2 linked regions of the Solanum lycopersicum genome follow. The protein of the gene in region 2 interacts with the protein of the main gene of each other region in a pairwise test. Links are inferred from orthologs where the notes say so. Each region holds a gene or a part of one and is shown on either strand. Other genes may lie near its edges.

Region 1 (11,074 bases), on a different chromosome or scaffold from region 2:
TAGAAAAGGACAAAAAAACGAATGTTTAGTGCATATTCTTTTTCACTTTCATGCCTTGTTTTTAAATGTATAATGGAGAATGACGCATCATAAAGCTAGTAAAAGAAGAAAAAGGCTGCAAGATTCATGCAGCAATGTTATATGTGGAGTAGTTGGTTTTTTTGCCAATTAAAGTTTGAATGCTACGTACTCCGTATTTCTTATCTGATAAGACTTACTAGTACTCACTTAAGGGTTAAGAGTTGTAGTCCATTCGAATTATTGAGTTTTAAATTAATAACTTATACATATCTAATATATTTCTTGAGGCAAATATAGAAATTTGCTCAAACTACTACGTGCTCAAAAGGAGTACTATAACTTTATCATTATTAAAGAAGAAAGTATCTAACTTTAATTAAATGACGACTTATACAGACTTGCTCAAGTAGTTGAACAGTCATCACTGATCTGATCGGTTAAAAGTTTGAATTATGTTAAAGGGTAAGTGAGAATATTATTGATCTTTTCGAAATGAGTCGGATAAATGAGAACATTATTAATCCTCTCGAAATGAGACGGATAAGTGAGAACATTATTGATAGTCAGAACATAGATATGGATAGATGACTGTTGTCGTGCTGCAATGGAGTAGATATCAAATGCATGATGACTGTTAAGTAAAACAATATTTTTATAATCCAATTCTACGTCCATACTAACATGTACTAGGGTAATTTAATTCATTTTTTTGCAAGTATTTTAATGCCTTTTTCATTTCCTCAGCTATTTGATTTTACATGTAAATTAAGAAGAACGAAAACATTTTTATATATATATAAGAACTTTCAAATATAAAAATGCATTGTTAACTGATTTTATCATAAAAATATTGTGGTTAACAATAACCATAAAGATGATGACTCTTACTATATAAACAGCAGAAAAACTAATTGTTCAGTAATATCAGTACGTAACTATTACGACTACTATAAACATGGAGATCAGTCGGAGTAATGTTGGTGGCGGCAGCAATGACGGCCCTCTGTTCGACAGTTTTAGGACGGAACTGCTGTCTCCGGCTGCCCAGGCGGTGGTTGATCAGATTCAGTCATCATCTTCCGCGTCATGGAGGCTTAACGTTAGTGAATTTCATCTTCCAGAGCAACGACGCTCTGATCCTCGCTGCTTCAGTGTCCGTCGTCTCCTTCCCACTCCCAGTATGTATCTGTTCCAATTTATGTAGCACAGTTCAAATTTCGAGAGTCAAATAGTTTAATTTGGGCTTGTAATCTTCAAACAATTCCAATTTATGTAGCACAGTTCAAATTTTGAGAGTCAAATAGTTTAATTTGGGGATAAATCTTCAAATGTAAAATACAGTCAATTATAAACTTGTTTGAATTTCGAAATTCAAAAAGTAAGTAGGAATTCATTTTCCAGTCGCGATTTCTGTTCTATTGCGTGATAATTTACAGGGAAACAGGGTAAAATCGCGGAATATTACAAAAGGCAGGAAAGGCTTGTAGAAGGGTTCAATGAGATGGATACCATTAATGAATCTGGTTGTTTACCTGCAAGTCTAACTGAGGTTTGTTTGTTTGTTTCTTTAAATTGCTCGAGAAGGCGTAAATTGACTCTTGCAATCATTGTGTACTTTATCAGGACGAAATGAAGCAGCTTGCTAGGAGTGAAAGGATGGCTATTCATTTATCAAACATGGCTAATGTGTTACTATTCGTAGCAAAAATATACGCATCTGTTCAGAGTAAATCATTGGCTGTTATAGCATCGACGTTGGATTCTCTGTTAGACCTTTTATCCGGGTTTATTCTGTGGTTTACTTCTAATGCCATGAGAAATCCAAATCAGTATCACTATCCTATTGGGAAAAAAAGGATGCAGCCTGTGGTGCGTGATCATACTCAGTTTAATTCATTTGTTCTATTGTTTTCTTAACTCATTCATTGCTATTTCGTTCAGGGTATTATTGTTTTTGCATCTGTAATGGCAACACTAGGATTACAAATACTGTTTGAGTCTGCAAAAGAACTTATAAATCAGGTATGTCAATTGCTGAGAATGGATTTTGCACAGCAGCTGCTACCTTATGATGATTGAGTTTTGAAAATTTGAATTCGTACTACTAGAGATCAATCGTTAGAATTTGTCCCTCGATTTTGAAATACTAGGAAACGGAAGGGCAAAACGATAGGTTTTGGTACTTCTACTGTTGAATAGATATTGCAATTTCACTAGCAACTGCATTACACTTGACTTGTTAACCTGCATTTGTTGTTTGGATGGTTCTATCTATGTGTATGAGATCAGTCTCGCCCTGAGATGGATCACGAGAAGGAAAAATGGACGATTGGGATTATGGTCTCGGTCACAATGGTCAAGTTTCTGCTTATGGTCTACTGTAGAAGGTTCAAAAATGAAATTGTAAGAGCTTATGCCCAAGACCATTTCTTTGATGTCATAACCAACTCAGTTGGATTAGTGACTGCTGTCTTAGCAGTCCGATTCTACTGGTGGATCGATCCTGCAGGAGCTATCATAGTGAGTTCACAATCACAAGTCACAACTTTCGATTAGTAGCAAGACATTGTTTCACACTGCTGATAATCTTAAAAGTCTTTATATATATATAACACATTGTACTTTCAGATAGCTCTGTACACAATTAGCACGTGGGCGAGGACAGTAGCAGAAAATGTCTGCTCACTCATAGGAAGAACAGCTCCACCAGACTTCCTTACGAAATTAACCTATCTTATATGGAATCATCATGAAGAGATCAAGCACATTGACACGGTTAGAGCATATACTTTTGGCGTAAATTACTTTGTGGAAGTTGATATAGTGTTGCCAGAGGACATGTTTCTGAATCAGGCACATAATATTGGTGAAACACTGCAAGAAAAACTGGAGCAACTCCCTGAAGTAGAGCGTGCTTTCGTCCATATTGACTTCGAGTTTACTCACAGGCCAGAACACAAAATCACAGTGTAATGACATACATACTAGTTGCATCAAGGACCTTTACTCAAAATAATATTTATGTTGAGTTGAATCCATGAATTATTCAAGATCATTGGCTTAGTCCAGATGAAAGAAAAATCTAGCGAAGTTTCTTTGTTTGATAAGGTAACAATTTTATTATTGAATTGAGCAATAAAAAGCTAGTTGAAAACAAGAAGTATATCAAAATGTAGAGAACTTATAAAAAACGGATATTCAGATACTTATTCAAATTCACACATCTTATGAGATCTTAATATGAGACCTCAATCTTATTATAAAAAAATGGATATTCAGATACTTATTCAAATTCACACATCTTAATATGACCTTAATCTTATAAACAAAAGAAATACTATGGGTGCACCAAAAGGAATCATGGACAAAAGATTTACTCTTCTTTTTTTAATCAAGATAAAGAATGTCATTGAGATAGATTGTTTTTGTTATTTTTATTGTTTGAACGCCTCTAAAGAAAAAAGGTGATATAATAGGTTAGAATTTGTTCTCTCGCTCCTTGCTGGAGGAGCGACATACCAGAAAAAAAGCCCTTTTTTCATGAGCTTAAGTATTATAATCACTAATGAGTTGTTGGCGAGAATTATACAATTTTGATATCGCTTTATCTTTAGCTTGTATAATTACAATCATAAATTAGATTTTTAAAGTTATTTAAGAGTTGCAAAATTATAGTTATTAAATAAGAGATGAGATTTAATCGTGAGCTCAAACTTTTGAAAAACGGGTCAATGAATCAGGCGAGTAAATTTTTTAAATAAATGAATTTTATTTTAATATCAATCTATCACGTTCAAATTTAGAAATATCAAGTTCTGAATATTTTATTTGATGTGAATGTCCACTATTAAATGTAGTTTCTCCATTACGATTCACTATTGTGTTCCACCTCCTCAATGATCTCTATTTCTTCTAACTTCCATGTCTCCCATATTCTCCATAATCTTTTTCTTTAGGAGTCTTTTGATAATTAGATAAGAAATGAGTTATTTATATATTAATTTTCATGTAACTTAATCAACATGTGATTGATAGAAAGAAAATAAGTTATTAATTATAGAATTCATAAAACGTTTGATTAAACATCCCATATAACTAATACCTGGTTATATGTATATGTTGCAAGAATATTTACATATTATTTTATGCAAGATGAAATGTATAATAACAATCTTATGAATAACTAATCCCTGCATGTGCATGATTAATACATTATACATAAATTCGCTCATAATAATTTCTACATCACTATTTACATAACTCTAACTAGCTATCAAATAAAGAATGTAAAAAAAAAATTAATCGAGGATATTTATGTGTCATTCTTAATACATTAGGGGTAACTTTAGCCATTTTCCATTCTTTTATGGGCCAAACAACTCAAATAAAAACTCACTCGTCCATTTATCTGTGTAAAGTATTGCGACTCGCCGGAAGCGGGAGCATCAGCCCCAAAGCCCATGAATTAAGGACAACCCAAAACTCACCGGACATCGCCGGCCTCCTCCGCCGGCTGTTTAGTTGACGGAAACTTCTGTTCTCGCATCGTCACTACTGAATTCAGTCACAACATTTCAGTACATTTTGATTTCAACGTTTGTTAATACATATAGTAATAATATGGGACAGCAATCGGTGCCGACACCTTCAGTTAATCTTCCATCTCTACCACCACCGTCGGCGAGTAGTTCAGATAGTGGAGGAGGTTGTCAAGTTCGATGTGCTGGTTGTAAGATGATTTTGACAGTCGCTCCCGGACTGACAGAGTTTATATGCCCTACTTGTCAATTGCCGCAGATGCTACCTCCGGAACTCATGCCTCAGCAGCAGCGAAGCAGTGCCCTGGCTCATGGAATTGATCCTACCAAGATCCAGTTGCCCTGCGCTCACTGCAAAGCTATACTCAATGTCCCTCACGGCCTGTCTCGCTTCTCCTGCCCTCAATGTGGGATCGACCTTGCCGTTGATGTATCTAAGATTAGGCAATTTCTTCCTCAGTCGTCATCGAATCCTGCTGCTCCCCGTCCCCCTGCGCCACCTCTGCCTGAGGAAGAAGTCAATGAGGTTTTCAGTCAAAACTAATCTTCCCAACCCCATTTTATTGTATTCTTAACAAAATAACCAAAATTTGAAGGCAATGTTTTTGAACTTCCCCACTTGTGGGATTACACTGGGATTTCTATGGGATTTCCAAAATCAGTGTTCGTTATTCCTTTTCTGCCACGATGAGATTAGTACCTATTGGATGGCTTTTATTTTATGTATTGCGCGTGGTTGCCAGTTTTACTTTAACCATACTAACTGTTTTTTTGTTGCTCTTAACCAAAATTTTCCACATAAAGCTAGCCTCGCTAAACAACCATATATTTCAATTAGTTGATTTCTAAGTAGCTTAAGGTATAAAAAATCAACTAGAAGGTTATTGACAAAGTTTGAATGCCAGACATATCTGTTGGAGCATCTTATAAGGATTATGCTGTGTAGAATCCTATCATAGAGAAGTTTGAGAAACATCTTGCATGGTGCCCAAAAAAGAAAACTTTCATAAGGAAAGTAGCTTTGAATCTTGATAGAGAGTAGGGTGGAGCTAGGAGGGTGCAAGGGATTCACCTGGATCCCTTTTCTTTTGGAAAAGTATACTACATTGTACATGCAAGTTTAAGGCTATTCTTTAATATATAGTAGATGTTGAATCCCTTTGGCTTCTTTGTTTGTTTACTTTCTTTGTTTTGAATCTCCTTATTGAAGATAGTGGCTCAACAACTTCTCTAACATACCAATCTATTATATATCGTTGATGTTCATCCATGTAAGTGTGGTGCAAAAGTTGGAAAGAATGCTGAGGAACGTCTGATGGTATGAACATAGGAGGTGAAGAAGTATCCTTGAGTTAAGTGGGGACCCTTGGCTCGAGTATAACATATCAAAATAATGAAAAAAAAGAGGGGAAATGATAGTGGAGAAACAAAACAACTAATAAGGAAACAGTAACAACCACAAAATAATGCAATAAGCTAAACACAATCAACAACAAGTAATGCTGGAATCAGAAGCCAGATTCTATTAGAAAACAGCTAAACCCCTCAAAAATCAAGACAACACTCTATACTTACTAACCTTTTATCGCATTACGCGATATATATATATATATATATATATCAATCTAAACTTCTCGCCTTGGTCATGGATGTAGTCAAGGCACCCAAGGTAAGTTGACCAAATCTGGTGTGGATCCCGTACCCACACCCCTGTTGTGTCGACATGGTGTCCTTCCTCTGGCATACAAATCCTTCCATTTTTTTTCTTCTTCCCTTTCACTATTGTGTTATCAAATGACCAGTTATCAATATTGTTCTTTGTAGGTCTAGTGATAGTTATTGTTTCCTCTAATGTAGATTCTAACAAGTAACATGTAGTTTTTTTTATGGGAATCTCTATATGTACCCTGTTATGCAAAATTCTTTGCTTTAACTACAGGTAAACAATTTCATATTATAAACCAAAAGGCCAAAAAAATCTGCTGTATACAAGAAGTATACCAAAAAGTAAAAATCTACAAAAGATATGGTTCTCTACAAAAGACGCCCAATCCTCTATAGATCCCGGTAGCCTTATGTTGATGATGCCTAGTCAGAAGCAAAAAATTAATTTCCGTATCCAACATCTATCTGGTTTATTAATGCCCAACAAATTATCTCTCGCACATTAGATCTCAACATTAGCTCATAAGAAGCAAAAACAAAAATTAGGCATTAAATCAGTTTAGCATTAACTTACAATAATTTTTTGTAGAGACACCCAAACGGAAACAAAAGAAACAATCAACCTTTTGGGAAAGAGGGTGATGCACGGAGAAACTGATAAAACTCATGGAGGGACAGAGGGTTGACAAAAATATGAAGCAAATGCTAAAAATAAATAATATTCCCTCCGTTTAAAAAAGAATGACCTAGTTTTCTTTTAGTGTGTTTAAAAAAGAATGACCCCCTTTTTTTTGTCAACACTTTAGCTTCAACTTTTGATGTGACATGTTTAAGGCCCAAGATTAAATGACATTTTGGTACATTTGACATAACTTTTATTTAGAACCACAAGATTTAGAACTCTTCTTTCTTTTCTTAAACTCCGTTCCAAATTAAACTATGCCATTCTTTTTGAAATGGAGGGAGTAATGGACAGCACTGTGTCAAAGAGGTTAACACCAAGACCAATGAAGATCAGGTGTAGCGTAAACAGTTGAGCCTCACCATAACATTATTGATATTCAGCAAAAATCGATCAATAAGCACAGACTAATTTAGGGTTAACACTGCAACAACTTCTTGTTGAGGAATTTTATATCCTCTGCTTAAGATATCAAATAGTAATAGAATTAGTAACAGCAAAATATAAAGACATAAGTGAGAGTAGAAATAGAAGAAGGAACCATAGAAATTGTACTATACAAAGAACCATCCACTAAAGAAGGAACAAAGAAGCAGAAGGAAAATGGGAAATAAAAAGGTAAACACGTGTCACGAAAAAGAGGAGAATTGAATTGAAGTGTATATAAGAGAAGAGAAAAGATATTCAGTACCAAAGACATATGTCCATGTATGATAAAAAAGAGTAAGGTTCAAGTGTATAGTTTATATTACTTTTGGTACAATTGCCCAGTGCAATGTTCGTACATCCCCTTCGTAAATATTTGTTACTTTTGGTATAACTGTGCACTTCAGTGTTCATCCCCTCCTCATTTATATATAGTAGAAAAGTACAAGTCTAAGTAGCATTTTCTGTATCACCAGAATAGTGTTCTAATGAGAAAGGTTGTGCTCAACAATTAGAACTTATGGAACAATTTTTGATGGATCAGGCTCAATAATTGCAAACTCTTCTGGTTAATTATTTCTGCCGCTCTCTTCTGACCAGATGATGTGTATACACCAATCGACCTTATTTATATCGTATAGGAAACTTTGTTCCATATTTTTTAGTTCTCAACATTGCATCGTGATGTTTCAGGTGGCCATTGAAGTAGAACGTGAAGAAGACGAGGGTGGCATGGTTGGAGAAACTTTTATGGACTACGTATGTTTTCTTTGCTATCTCAGCATTTACTCCTAGTAATGTAATAGTGGGAGAAATATGTGTTTTGCCTTCAATTATTTTTAATATGTAAAATTCTGTAATGTTGTAGAAGAGAGAATGGGAGAACACGAAAAGCCTGTGATAATGGCTGTAGAGAGTGGGATGGAGTAAAAGAGAGATGAATATGTTACTTTTGTTACAATGACTGACAACTTAGCAATGACTTTATTAACTGTTCGAATTTCTTTGCTAACCAGTTTAAAAAATAGAGAGGTTATTGTAAGCCTATCATTGGAGAAACGTGTGATACCGTTTTGTGGATGCTAACTCCAACAATCCCCTCCTCTCCCTAAATGTGGTCGCGTGATACCGTTTTGTGGATGTTAACTCCAACAATCCCCTCCTCTCCCTAAATGTGGAAGCACATAATATCATCATTGAATATAACCTTTTGAGATTTTCATGTTAGCATGTTCATGTTGATCCTCTTCATTCTTATTTTCTTGTCCTGTTTTAACACAGCGGCCTCCCAAGCTATCTATTGGACCTCCGCATCCTGATCCTATCGTGGAGACATCTTCCTTATCTGCAGTACAACCACCTGAACCCACCTATGATCTTACGATCAAAGAGGACTTGGAAAGCTCTAAAACATTGTCCTGCCTGCAAATTGAGACATTGGTTTATGCTTGTCAGGTTGCTATTCAAACTCATGTTACTCAACTCTGTTAGTAGGCTCTTAGCTTATAGTTACTGTTTTCCTGTAACAGAGACACCTTCAGTTCCTTCCAAATGGTACTAGAGCAGGATTTTTTGTCGGTGATGGTGCTGGTGTGGGGAAAGGACGAACAATTGCTGGACTAATATGGGAGAATTGGCACCATGATAGAAGGAAAGCATTGTAAGTTCTCAAGTAAAAGAAGTACATTGCTGTACTTACCACTTAAAAGATTGCATTATTGAATCTTAATCTATTCTAATATCCATTTAATGGTTGTCTCCTTGTTGCTAAAATGATGACTGTACTCCTAAAGAATCTGTTTTTCTTCGTTTATGATCAAACACATGATAGTTTCTACGATTAAATCTTATTGTTTCCTCCTAATGCTTTTCCCCAGGTGGATTTCTGTTGGTTCGGATTTGAAATTTGATGCAAGACGAGACATGGATGATGTGGGAGCTACATGTGTAGAAGGTAGTTACTGAGAATCTTCAGTATGGTCTTGGTTAAATGCTGCATACGATCTACCTATTCCTTTCTCCGTTTGTTTATGTTAGTTTGTGCTTTTGTGTTCTTTGATGCTTACCCATTCCTTAAGCTTTTGAAGTTTAAGGGATATAAACTTCGAGCACCTTTTTGCTTTCTATGTTCTTTTTTCTGGGAACTGCAGAGATCAACTGATAACTCTGGGAGCCTGGATAGACGCTGTCGCAATGGGGTCTTAACTACTCTATTAGAATCTAAGAAAGGAAATACAGATAAGATGTTGACTTTGTAGTTTGGGACAGTTATGACTATCTTTCGATATATGTACTTGGGTTATTTGTAGTAAGTGGTCAAATTTGGTTATTTTGGGTCAATTCATGATGTATATGTACCACATTCTACTGTTTTCTATGAGTTGCTTTTGTTGGTGGAATGCTACTTAAGATTTTTCTGAGTTATCAACTGAATGTATTATATTGTGAAATCGTGCATGGATTTTATGTGATTTTTTTTTTGGATAAAAGTAACATGGTTTTTTATGCAAATTTTTTCCTTTTATCATTTCCTATTCAAATGGTTAATGACTGAATCGATTTTGTAACTGGAAATCTATAAATTTCTCTTGTAGTGCATGCTTTGAACAAGCTACCTTATTCTAAGCTTGACTCAAAGTCTGTTGGCGTCAGGGAGGGAGTTGTTTTTTCAACATACAGCAGTCTGATAGCATCTTCGGAGAAAGGTCGGTCCCGTTTGCAGCAGCTTGTACAGTGGTGTGGGCCAGAATTTGATGGTCTTGTCATATTTGATGAGGTATAATTTCAAAATAAAAAAAATTCCTTTTGGACCAAGTTCAGTATAGTTTGCACAATGAATATTATGTATCATTGTAATGGATTTTATCAGTTGTGCAAATTCTTGAAAGAAAGAGACATCCAATTTGTTGCACTTAGCTATAACTTTTATTATTCATTTGTAGTGTCACAAGGCAAAAAATTTGGTCCCTGAAGCTGGGGGACAGCCAACTCGAACTGGTGAAGCTGTACTTGAAATCCAGGTTTGTTTTTCAAATTGAGTCATTGAATTTCGGTAAGATGTGGTTTCCACCCAAATTAAGTCATGAATCGCAGGTTGTCAAAAACAAATATGCATCTTATAAGTTAGTTAAATGAGAACAAGAAACGTGTTATTTATATTTGAAAAGAGCGAGTCTTATAAGTTAGGAAAGTTAATGCATATAATACAGTGGAAAGTAGTTAAGCTGGAGATTTGCACTCCCAAAAGCAAGTTTAGATCTCTTCCCTCCATTCTATATATATTCTTTTGAAGTTGTGAGCTTGGGATGTTTGCCAAATATATTTGCCAAGTAATGGTAAATTATATGGCTAAATAATAGTTCCCAAATTCTCCCCAAATATATTTGTGGCCAAACGGGTAGGTGTAGTCGTGTTCTCCTTTTTGAATTTTGAATTTATAAGTTAGTTGTACATTTTCAAAAAATTAAAGCACCTAAATCAATTTCAGAAATTAAATTATCCAAATCAATATTAATAAAAAACTAGAAAAAGAGCCACTTATATGTGAAAATAGTCACTAGAAAGATACACGGTGACCCAACCATAATCATTGGCCGGACAGGCAACATATATGGATAATAGCCCGCCGGCAGGGCTTACTCTCTGATTCTTTATCAAGATCGTAGAGGCTCTGATACCATGTGTGAAATATAGAAGAACATTATTGAATTGTTGTTTTTTCTACATTATTACATTGAGACCC
Region 2 (10,195 bases):
CAATTGGGATTGGACTCTACTATATCAATCAATTTTATCAATGTTTAAAGACTAATCCTAAGCTAATTAATTAGGCTCTACACCTGCACATTCCAATTCTATAACATATTTCACGTTGGAGATTCATCAGATAAGGGAAAATACTAGATGCTTCACTAATGATGACAATGGACATGAAAGGACCAAAAGTAAATAAAGCAGTTTTAACGAGAGAGATGGTAAACACCACTCACTTTCAATAATATAAATACTGTAAGTTTGAGTAACCAAGAGAGCAAAAATGGATCGAAGCTTGTAGAGAAGGGTTAGAAAAGAACCAGGGGACAACTTAATTAATTTCGAAGAGTACATGGACAAATTTATTCGTTTTACCTTCTTTTTTTTTTACACTATTTAAAAAAGACTGTATCTTTTTCTTTTTAATTTAACAAGCAACAAACATGACATTTTTAATACTTCAAGGTGTTTCAAAAAATTTTATGCTCCGTACACAAGTAGATATTTACACGTATATAAAATTAAACAAATGAACTTATATATATCCTACCTGTCATAATATACGTAGAATGCCAATTACATGTTTAATTAGTTAAGAGAAAATTAAACTTATCTTGACAACATTAATTAAGTGGTTGATGAGCGTAGGAGGTGGACTTTAACATGCATCTATATGCATGCGGGGAAATATACCATTCCTATATATGACTATACTATTATTCTACATCTATGTCTATATCAAGCTAATTAATTATTAATTTAGATACAAAGGGTTGATTAGGTCGGCAAATAGGGTATAGTAATAATTATTATTTTTTTAATTTTTCGTTTAGTGTCTAGAATTCACATTAGAACTTCAATTAAATCTAGATCGCGCACTGCAGGGTCCATTCAAGGTAACGCTCCAAATAGTATTTTCTCCATACCAAGAGCTCGAACCCAATATCTCTGATTAAAAATAAAACACTCCCGACTAGTAATACACCACAATCCATGTTGATAATAACTAATATACTACATAGTAACAACTAACAAGGAATTACTTCTTCAATTTTGCAGGCATGCAGTTTCATAGATAGCAGATAATAAAATTCAACTCCGTTTATTAGGAACGTTGAAATATGTAATCATCTTATCTAAAAATTTAAGTTATCAGTTTCTTAGAGAAAGCATATTCAATATGTCTCGTGATTATGTGTGGGCGTGACTCTCTTTTCGTAGGCCAAACACGTGACACTGATACCATATGTAAAAGTGTGTGACCATCTCATATGATATTTAAGGCTAGGTGGATATAGTATGGAGAGGAATTGTCAACATTGTACAATAATAATATAGATTATTTTCAAGCTCCAGGAAGCAACTTTTAGATGCTTTTGGTCCCAAATATCGTTGTGGTCTCACAAACAATTAAGTCCAAGATCTGCCAATATATTCTAACTCATACAGGTTAATTACTTCCAATAAATAACAAGCAAATTAGAGTAGTGTAAAAAAAATGATTGCAATTTATAGAGAAACATCTTAGACGAGAGAAAGTTGCTCGCATGAAAAGTATCCTTCACTTTCAATTCGAAGGTTGCGAGTTTTAGTTACCAAAGAAGCAAAAAGGTGAGAACTTCCGAGGAGGGTAAAAAAAAAGAAGAAGAGTAACAACTAAATTTTGTTTATAAGAATAGCTTGCATCAAAAACAAAATAAGGAAGTATGTTAGTGATGGATCACTATATCACTACGACAAAAATAACTTTTAACAAAAATAAATATGCACATTAATATTTACCAAAAGTATTAAAAATTTTACCGATATTAGTTAAATATTATTAGATTCAATGCCGAGATAGGCTTAAGCTATTGATCATTTTTTGTGTAGTGTATGTCTCTAGTACCACCCGACTCTAATAACGTGAAAATCCGATAATGAGTGGCATTGAGACTTGAACTCGACACCTATTCATGCTTTATAACGTAAGACATGCCTCATTTGTTTGCACTTAATGAGAGTCTGAATCTTAATCATTTAGATTCAACCCATAAGTGCGTTTGATTTTAGGTTTGATTTTAATCATTAAGATTCATTCCATTAAGTCTATTTGTTTCTTTTTTTAAAAAAAATCTTATTGGGTCTTAATGAATCTGAATGAATCAGATTTATAACAGAGTCTTAATACCATCTTACTCTATTGAAATAATAGAAGTTCTTTCATAAACACATTTTCTTCTTCCTTGCTTCTCTTCAGGACAAGTTTTAAGTCTTCCTCTCATTTTCCAACCAAATATTTTTTTTTCTTTTGAATAAGTAAGTTTTCATAATCTTTTACAAGTATTTACATAATATTTTTAATGTATACAATATTCTTGGGTGAATTGATATTTATGAAAAATTCTTCATGTCACAATTCGTTTGTTGTCAAAACTTCTTTGGAAAAGTTATCTTTGTTTCATGAGAAAACAAATAAATCGTCTTTTCTAGGGATGAGTTATAATCTTATTCTTGAAACAATTTTTTAGAAGAAGTATTCTTGGTTTAGATTATAACTTTTTTTGATATAATATTTAATTCCTAATTTTTTTAAAAAATATCATGCACATTCATATATTGAAAATAAATAATCATTTAGTGTTCAAATCTAGAAACTACATTTTAATGTTCAGACAAGCATTAAGATTCTAACATCTTAATCTTAATGAAAACAAATGAGACCTAAGACTCATTCTTAAAAGAGTAAAACTTTTAAGTTTCTTCCTCTTATTTTCCAACTAATTCGTCTAAAAACCTAATTAGATATGAAAGAAACTTTTTGTTTTCTAGTTAGATTAAAACAAATTAATGGAGTAATTAATTATATTACTAGTTATTACGTCTATCATTAGTACACAGCTAAGCATGATATGTTATGTATCAATTTTACATGACAAAATTGAACTTGAATAGTTTCGTTTACCTTCTATAAAATATTTTTATTGGCTAAAATCATTCATACTTTGTGGTTAGATCCTATTATGGATTTTTCACTATATTCTTCAACATCTTTATCTCTTACTTCTCGGAGCTCTGATAATGAAATAAAGAAAAATGAGAAGAAGATACCAACAACAACTGATTGACTTGACTACGTAACTATAGTTCCAGATCTGTTGCATCATATTTGCAATTACCTTAAGGTTGTGAGAGTCGAGAATAAACCCAACCTTTGCTTCGATTAGAGTTTCTACTATCGAGATTTCGGTTAAACCATGACATATTAATGATGCAAATCCAAGAAAAACAAAATTGAAAAAATTAATGCTAAACACACTTTCAATTTGTATAAATTAAAGGTTAATCCAATACCAATAATAATGTAGATTTATACCACTTGAATCACCCAAAAAAAAAAACTACAGATTAATATTTGTATATTTCAGAATAGAGATTAAAACTTTATAAACCTATATGGTATAAGAAATAGAATGATTCACTTTAATTATTTGTTGTACCTGTGAAGAAGGAATAATGTAGCATGATTATAATCCAGGACAACAACTTTAATTCAAAATATTTGAAGTAAAGACGAAGATTCATTTCCTCCACTTGGCTTAGAATCAAATTGCGCGACCTTCATGTGGTTGATTATCATCATCATCATCGTCATCATCGTCATCTTCATCATCTCTGGAACTCATCCATCTAGGATCATTATTGAGACTAAAGGGTTTCATTTGGGAACTAATCAAATTAAGAGTTGGCATCACAAGTTGATTATTGTGTGAAGTAGTTGAGCTTAAGAAATTGAAATGGTTCATATTAGCCCTTGGATCATGACTCTCAATGGGATGATGATTTGTTATATAGTTAGGAGATGGAACTATAGGTTGAAATGTTGTTGTTATTGGATTGAAATACAATTGAGAACTCGAGGGAAAAGGCGAAGATGATGATCCCAAAGATAGAGGGAAACTAGTATTTTGATGAGATTGATCATCATCTATTTGGGATGAAAATGAATGATTATGTCCAAAATGACCTAAAGACAAATTCGAATTAGGCTGATGATCCCATTGATAGTTATAAGAATTGAAAGGCATGCCTGGTAAATTAGATGATCGTTGATTTCCTAAGGTAAACATATTATCCTCTTGATTTGATTCCTCATTTGAAGCGATTGACTTGTTCCTCCCATGTTCCAAATAAGATGTGTTCGCGTTCAACCATTGAGCACGGACATCAGAGAACTCTTCATGAGATGGTTGTTGAAACCGAGTGAAGTACTCAGGTGGTACAGGAAGTGGAGGAAGAGTATCGATATCAAGTTTAGTCGCTTCTAAGAGCCAATCTACAACTTTACTAGGTTGGCTCAGGCCAAGCCTGTCTTGTAGATCATACAATTGAATTGCAGTTGGAACTGATAGTCTAATTCTTCGATCTCTAAGCCCCCTTATGGTGCACACCTTACTATGCCTATCTTTCCCTCCAAAAGTACGCGATACGCGTACTATTCTTGGGTTTTTATTAGCTCCCCATTGCCTTGAAGTACTCGATGGTGGTGCACTAGTCGTCTTTGAGGCCAATCTACTATCATTATTTGATTCTTGTTTCGTCTCAAAATTATTTCCACTCGATGAATTCATGATATGTATATCATATATCGTTCTTCATCAGCATCGATCTAGTAAAAATCAAAGAAAAATATTAAGCATCTATTAGATCGAGATAAAATATTATCAAATTATACTATACACACAAAAAAAAAAAACTCCATCAATGGAAATTTTCTTGTGTACATAGTGCAATTTTTGGGGGAAAATTGGAGTTGTGATTAATATTAGGGTAACCTCCAAAATCATTTCACTAAACACCCAAGACTTTGTAAAAATGACTAAGATCTAAAAAAATAGATGTTTAAAATTTTGTATAAACAATTACTACTATAAGAATCATGAATTGTACTTACATAATTAGGTTTTGTAGAAGATAAACTACAACTTGTATATATATCTTTGAGTGGCTAGCAAAATCTCAACATGGAATTAACAACTCTTGATAACATTTAACTTCTTTTATAATAATTTCTCCCAAGGCTTGGGGGAAAAAATGAGTTTATGGACAAAATTTGACCAAAAGAGAAACAAGAGAGAATAAATTTACAAGGATAAGTTATGGTTTGTAGAAAAAGAAGCAATGTTAGATTCTCACTATGTTATAATATTATCTCAAAAGAGGAAAGTAGAAGGCCACGTGGCGCTTACTCGTGTGTAATTCAATTCTAGGGTTGAGAAAAATGTAAAGTTTTAAGTATTATGTATCTACTGTGTATATAAACTTTTATAGTATTTGTATATATAATCGCGATAATTCTTTGTCCATAGGCTACAAATAATAATGTAATAGAAATTTAATTTCTCGTATTTAGACTACTCCATCATGAATAGTTTTTTTTTTTTAACAGTCTATTAGTCAAGAAGCTAGTTATTGTAGTAGTTTCATATTTTAATTTTAAGTTTTGATTCTATTTAATGATGCTAAGAAAGGAAGGTACACTGTTAACCTCACAAGGACCACTCTAGGGTTAGAAGAAAAAAAAAAGAAAAGGGTTTATTGCTTTTCTGCAAACTATAGTAGTAGTACAAATTAAAATAAATGACTAATCATCCGAATTTAAAATTTTGAATATATATATATATGTTTGTTGTGAGATATTGTCGGTTACATGTAGAATAATTATATTAAATAATAATCAGTTATTAGGGAAAATGATGTGAAATACATTTGAACTTTGATTGATATTATTGTTGTAGTATCAAATTTTAGAAAAGACATTTTACCCCTACATTATTTAATAGTGTATTTTAAAGGTATATATGTATTTACGTGGACATAAAAATATTACATAATTATAAATAGTAATGTGTCTACGTGGACATAAATATACCTTTAAAATACACTATTAAATAGTTTGGAGGAGTGGGGAAGGTTAAAAGGTTCTCCATAAAGTTTCATATCGAAATAGCAATTTCGATCAAAATTGAAGTATTTTTCAGACCTTTTCCCTCGTTATTACAATTGTTGAATAGTGGATTTTTATAAAATAATTGTGTATTTAAAAATTTTAATTGTAATATTCTATTTATAAAAAAAGATATATGGAGATATGTAATTTTTTAATGTGGCGTCGTAGGATGTTATAGTTTCTTGTTTATGAATTATTTTTTACTCTTTGCTAAGATTGTATAAGAATGGGAGAAATTTCGGTGGTTTATACAATTTGTAGAATTTTTTTTTCATGTTTATAAGAAAAAACACAACCCGAGAAATATAAATTACTCATCCAAACAAAAGTTTAATCTCAAATTAATCTGATTTCAAATCATAATTTGTATCGCATGTCCAAGCGAATCCTAATTAAACTCATCTCATACTCCCTCTGTTCGTTTTTAATTGTCATGTTGTGTTTTAAAAAGTCAATTTGATTAATTTTCAAAGTTAAATTAGATTATTAGATATTCAAAAATTATACTAGAAGTACTACAAATTGCATTTTTTTGGCATATCAATAAGATAAAAAAAATCATGGTAAAATATTAATCGAAGTTCTTATCATTTCACTCTAAAAAAAATCATGACAATTAAAAGTGATCGAAGAGAATATTTAAAAGTGATCCAATTTTCTTTATCAGTATTATTATGGGTACTCTTATACTATCTTATTCTTTAATTCTACTTATTTATTATTTTCTTATTACTTCGAATATCGTTCTATTTGTTATTTATAATTTTCTTTTCTCCATTGTTTTCTACAAGGGTTCCTTCACTATATTATTCCTTTCTCAATAACTTTAATATATTTTACTTAATTCGAGGATCTATCGGAAAATATCTATTAATCTTCACTAGATAGAGAGAAACTCCATATACATATCATCCTTTCCAAAACTTTTTTATGAGATATATTACACTAAACATGTTATTGTTATTGTTGATTTCTAATCGAGTACGTCACCTAAATTGAATAGAAGAAAAGGGAGAAAAGCTTTTACTACATATGCATGCACAATTAAATTAGCAGAAAAGAAATACCAGAAATCCTTGTACATTAATATCTTTTAATTTATAAAGAAACTATATATGTACAATTTGTTAGTGCCATTTTTGAAAGATTTTAACATAATTATGATGAAGAAATTAAAGATTAGGAAACACATGAAAATAAAGAATGTTGATGAGTAATTAATTATTTAAGTTTCAAAAAGGAAACAAATTATTAGTAATTAGAATAACTAGTGGAGATGTAGTGGTATCCCCAAAGCTATATATATGCTCAATTGTAGATGAGGGACCAATAAACCAATAATAATAATATACAACCTCTTAAAAGACTTTGCACTTAGTACACATATATTATATATATATATATATAAAAATGGGCCACTTGCAGTGAGATTTTTTGCATGCAGCAGTAGCAGCAACTTGGACTTAACCCACTGATTAACTTAATGAATTTAATTTTAATAATTGAAAGTCCTGATTAAATTTGGATGCGTATTGCAAGCTCATTTAGGAGTGATATTCCTAACAAGATTTTCTTCATATTTAAGGCTCGAATGTGACACTTTTAATTAAGGATAAAGCAATCTTACCACCGTATTGTAACACTAATAAATTTAATTACTATTATCATTCAATAACAAGGGTAGAAAGAAAAGGACAAATATTAGAATGATCAAATTCCAATCTACTGTTCCATTGGCTAATTAAATCAACTGGAAAAGGGAAGGTATATTCACCAAAAATATTCAATATATATTAATATTGATATTGCGAGAAAGGTTTTGTGATTTCGAATTATATATTAATATTTTTTATAAAAAAAATGTATGTGTACGTAGAATAAAATTTGATTTTTAAATTTTGAATTTGCTTATGATGAAATGTTAATGCTGACAGAGGTAGAATTACTATTGAAGTATATGAATTTTGAATTTGTCATCAAACTTATAAGACGATAAGACTTAATTTTGATGTATAATTGATTCATAGGTTAATCTTTATTTTCTACCACCACTAAACCCTAAGGAATACAATAATGAAAATGGATATTTTGAGAGGCCACAATCTGCTCTAAGAGTAGAGTTGGCTACAATCATAACAGGCCAAAGGCTAATACTATAATTACTGAATTTTAGTTCATAAATATTGAGCAAAAAAAGCATCCAATGTTTACAACCCTAGCCACAAATTTCACAAGTTGCTAGTCAAATTTTCCACTAGTAAATCCCAACTAATTTGTTAGATAAAAACTGATTATTTACCTACTTAATCTTAATCTTTAAGTTAACCTACCAAATAACTAGGTGACATGCGAAAGCTCACAAAACAGTGATAAATCAGACAACAAAAGAAAAAAAAGGTGAGTAATCTAACACTTAGCATAAAATAGAGTTCAAAATATCGAAAAAAATAACTACACAAAATTTATTCAGAAATAGAAGGAAGGAACTTCAATTTAATTAGGTCAAAACACACATGCCCTAAGAGAATACTCATATTCATCTAATTTGTGCTTGAATTAAGTTATACCAAATATAGAACAAATTAAGCAACAACAGAAATAGAGGTTGCAATAAATCATAAATTGACATGATTAACTTATTGCCCCACTGTTAAGAAACATTACAATTACTTCCTTCGTTATAATTTATTTGTCCTATTTCTTATAATTTGTTGAAACAAGAATAATCTCTTTCTGTTTTTTATAACTCTTTAATTTCAACTTAATTCCATCGCAACATGTTTAAGATTACAAAATTAAAAAATATATTAATTATATTTTAAATATAAGACTACAAGATTTAAAAAATCTTTTTTATTTTCGTCCCATATATAATACTAGTACTGAATCTGTTATTTTTCTGGCCTGCAGACTAACAGAATGAATAATGGACTGTGCTATCAACTGCTACTAAACTTCAAGCCCAGAAGGAGTACGTGTGGGCACTGGCCAGCATCATCACCACTTATTTCCCTCAAAAAATGTAAGGATAAACTCTCACTTACCTATTCGATAGTTTTTTTTGTTTTAATTTGTTTGATCTATTTTTATAGTAATTTTTTTAAAACAGTTCTTTAATTTCAATTTTTTAAAATGATATTTAACTACAAGACTAAAAACATTTTCGACAATAACACTCAAAAAATTTCTTTAGCTTCTTAAGCATCAAACAAATTAAAACGAAAAAAGAATAATTAACTGTTGAAGTTTGCTGCAGTAACTTTTAGCAAAATAAGTTATTTAGTTTAAATAAATTTGAATTTTGAATTTCAGTTAGTTTGTTTACGTTGTTGAGATATTTCAGATTGTTTAAATTTTAAATTATGCAGGTTATATATTTTATATTAACTATTTCAATCCTAAGAAACATTTTCAATCATTTTGTGGTGCCCCATCTTTTAGAAAAACACTAACAATGGTATCAGAACTTCATTGATCTTAAGTGATTTTTGAAATCTTTCAAAGAACTATCATACATTTTTAACCTGTAAGGACAACCTTTTTAACCCATGAAGACTATTCATTTTAACCCAGCAAGGCTACCTTTTTAACCCGTGCTTTTCTCAAAGCACGTACTTTTTTTTGAATCATTTTTAAACCAAAATAATGGCAAGCATGCCCCACAAATTTTCACATACAAAAACTATCAAATTTAGTGTGAGAATAAAATTATATTTTGAAATCTATGTGATATGTGAGGTTGTGACGAAAGAAAAACCCTTACAATCTCTCTACAAATTATACAAAAGTTCAGATTAAAACAATTTCAAAAAAACTTTTACATAAGACAATATCATCACATGTATTTTTTAAAAAACAAAACCAAATGAAAAAAAAAAAAGAAATTTTGCAAGTTAAAGAATAATGAAATTTTTTTAGCATCAAGTATCAAAGCAAAAATTGAGAAGGGTTATTTTTAAAAAAAAATTGCAATAACTAAAGCAAAGGAGTGTTGAAGATTGCTTTTAGTTATTGCATAACTTTTACCAAAATAAGTTATTTAGTTTAAATAAATTTAAATTTTAGATAGTTTATTTATGTTGTTGAGATATTTTAGGTTGTTTAAATTTCATTTTATGCAGATTATATATTTTATGTTTGTTATTTAAAACCCTTTCAATACTTAATAAAATTATTGAAAGTCATTTCTAAATTGAGAAACATTTTCAG

Evidence for each region.
Region 1: the proteins of TCP4 (region 2) and protein FORGETTER 1 interact in binary tests that used the Arabidopsis thaliana proteins (3 or more experiments, as listed by UniProt). The link is inferred for Solanum lycopersicum from reciprocal best matches to the Arabidopsis thaliana genes TCP5 and EMB1135.

What each region holds. Positions count from the first base shown.
Region 1 is NC_090809.1:681,284-692,357, reverse strand, and holds the start of protein FORGETTER 1, read left to right. Parts: upstream 1-4,394; 5' UTR 4,395-4,641; coding exon 4,642-5,085; intron 5,086-8,025; coding exon 8,026-8,091; intron 8,092-8,613; coding exon 8,614-8,787; intron 8,788-8,861; coding exon 8,862-8,992; intron 8,993-9,209; coding exon 9,210-9,286; intron 9,287-9,926; coding exon 9,927-10,108; intron 10,109-10,274; coding exon 10,275-10,352; intron 10,353-11,074. Other genes in the region: metal tolerance protein 9, read left to right, coding at 977-1,199, 1,458-1,570, 1,645-1,890, 1,963-2,043, 2,311-2,541, 2,650-2,994. UniProt on the Arabidopsis thaliana protein: Required for normal embryo development. Necessary to acquire heat stress (HS) memory, by modulating nucleosome occupancy and regulating heat-induced gene expression.
Region 2 is NC_090802.1:61,724,113-61,734,307, forward strand, and holds TCP4 (TCP transcription factor 4), read right to left. Parts: upstream 5,107-10,195; 5' UTR 4,931-5,106; intron 4,646-4,930; 5' UTR 4,608-4,645; coding exon 3,582-4,607; 3' UTR 3,399-3,581; downstream 1-3,398.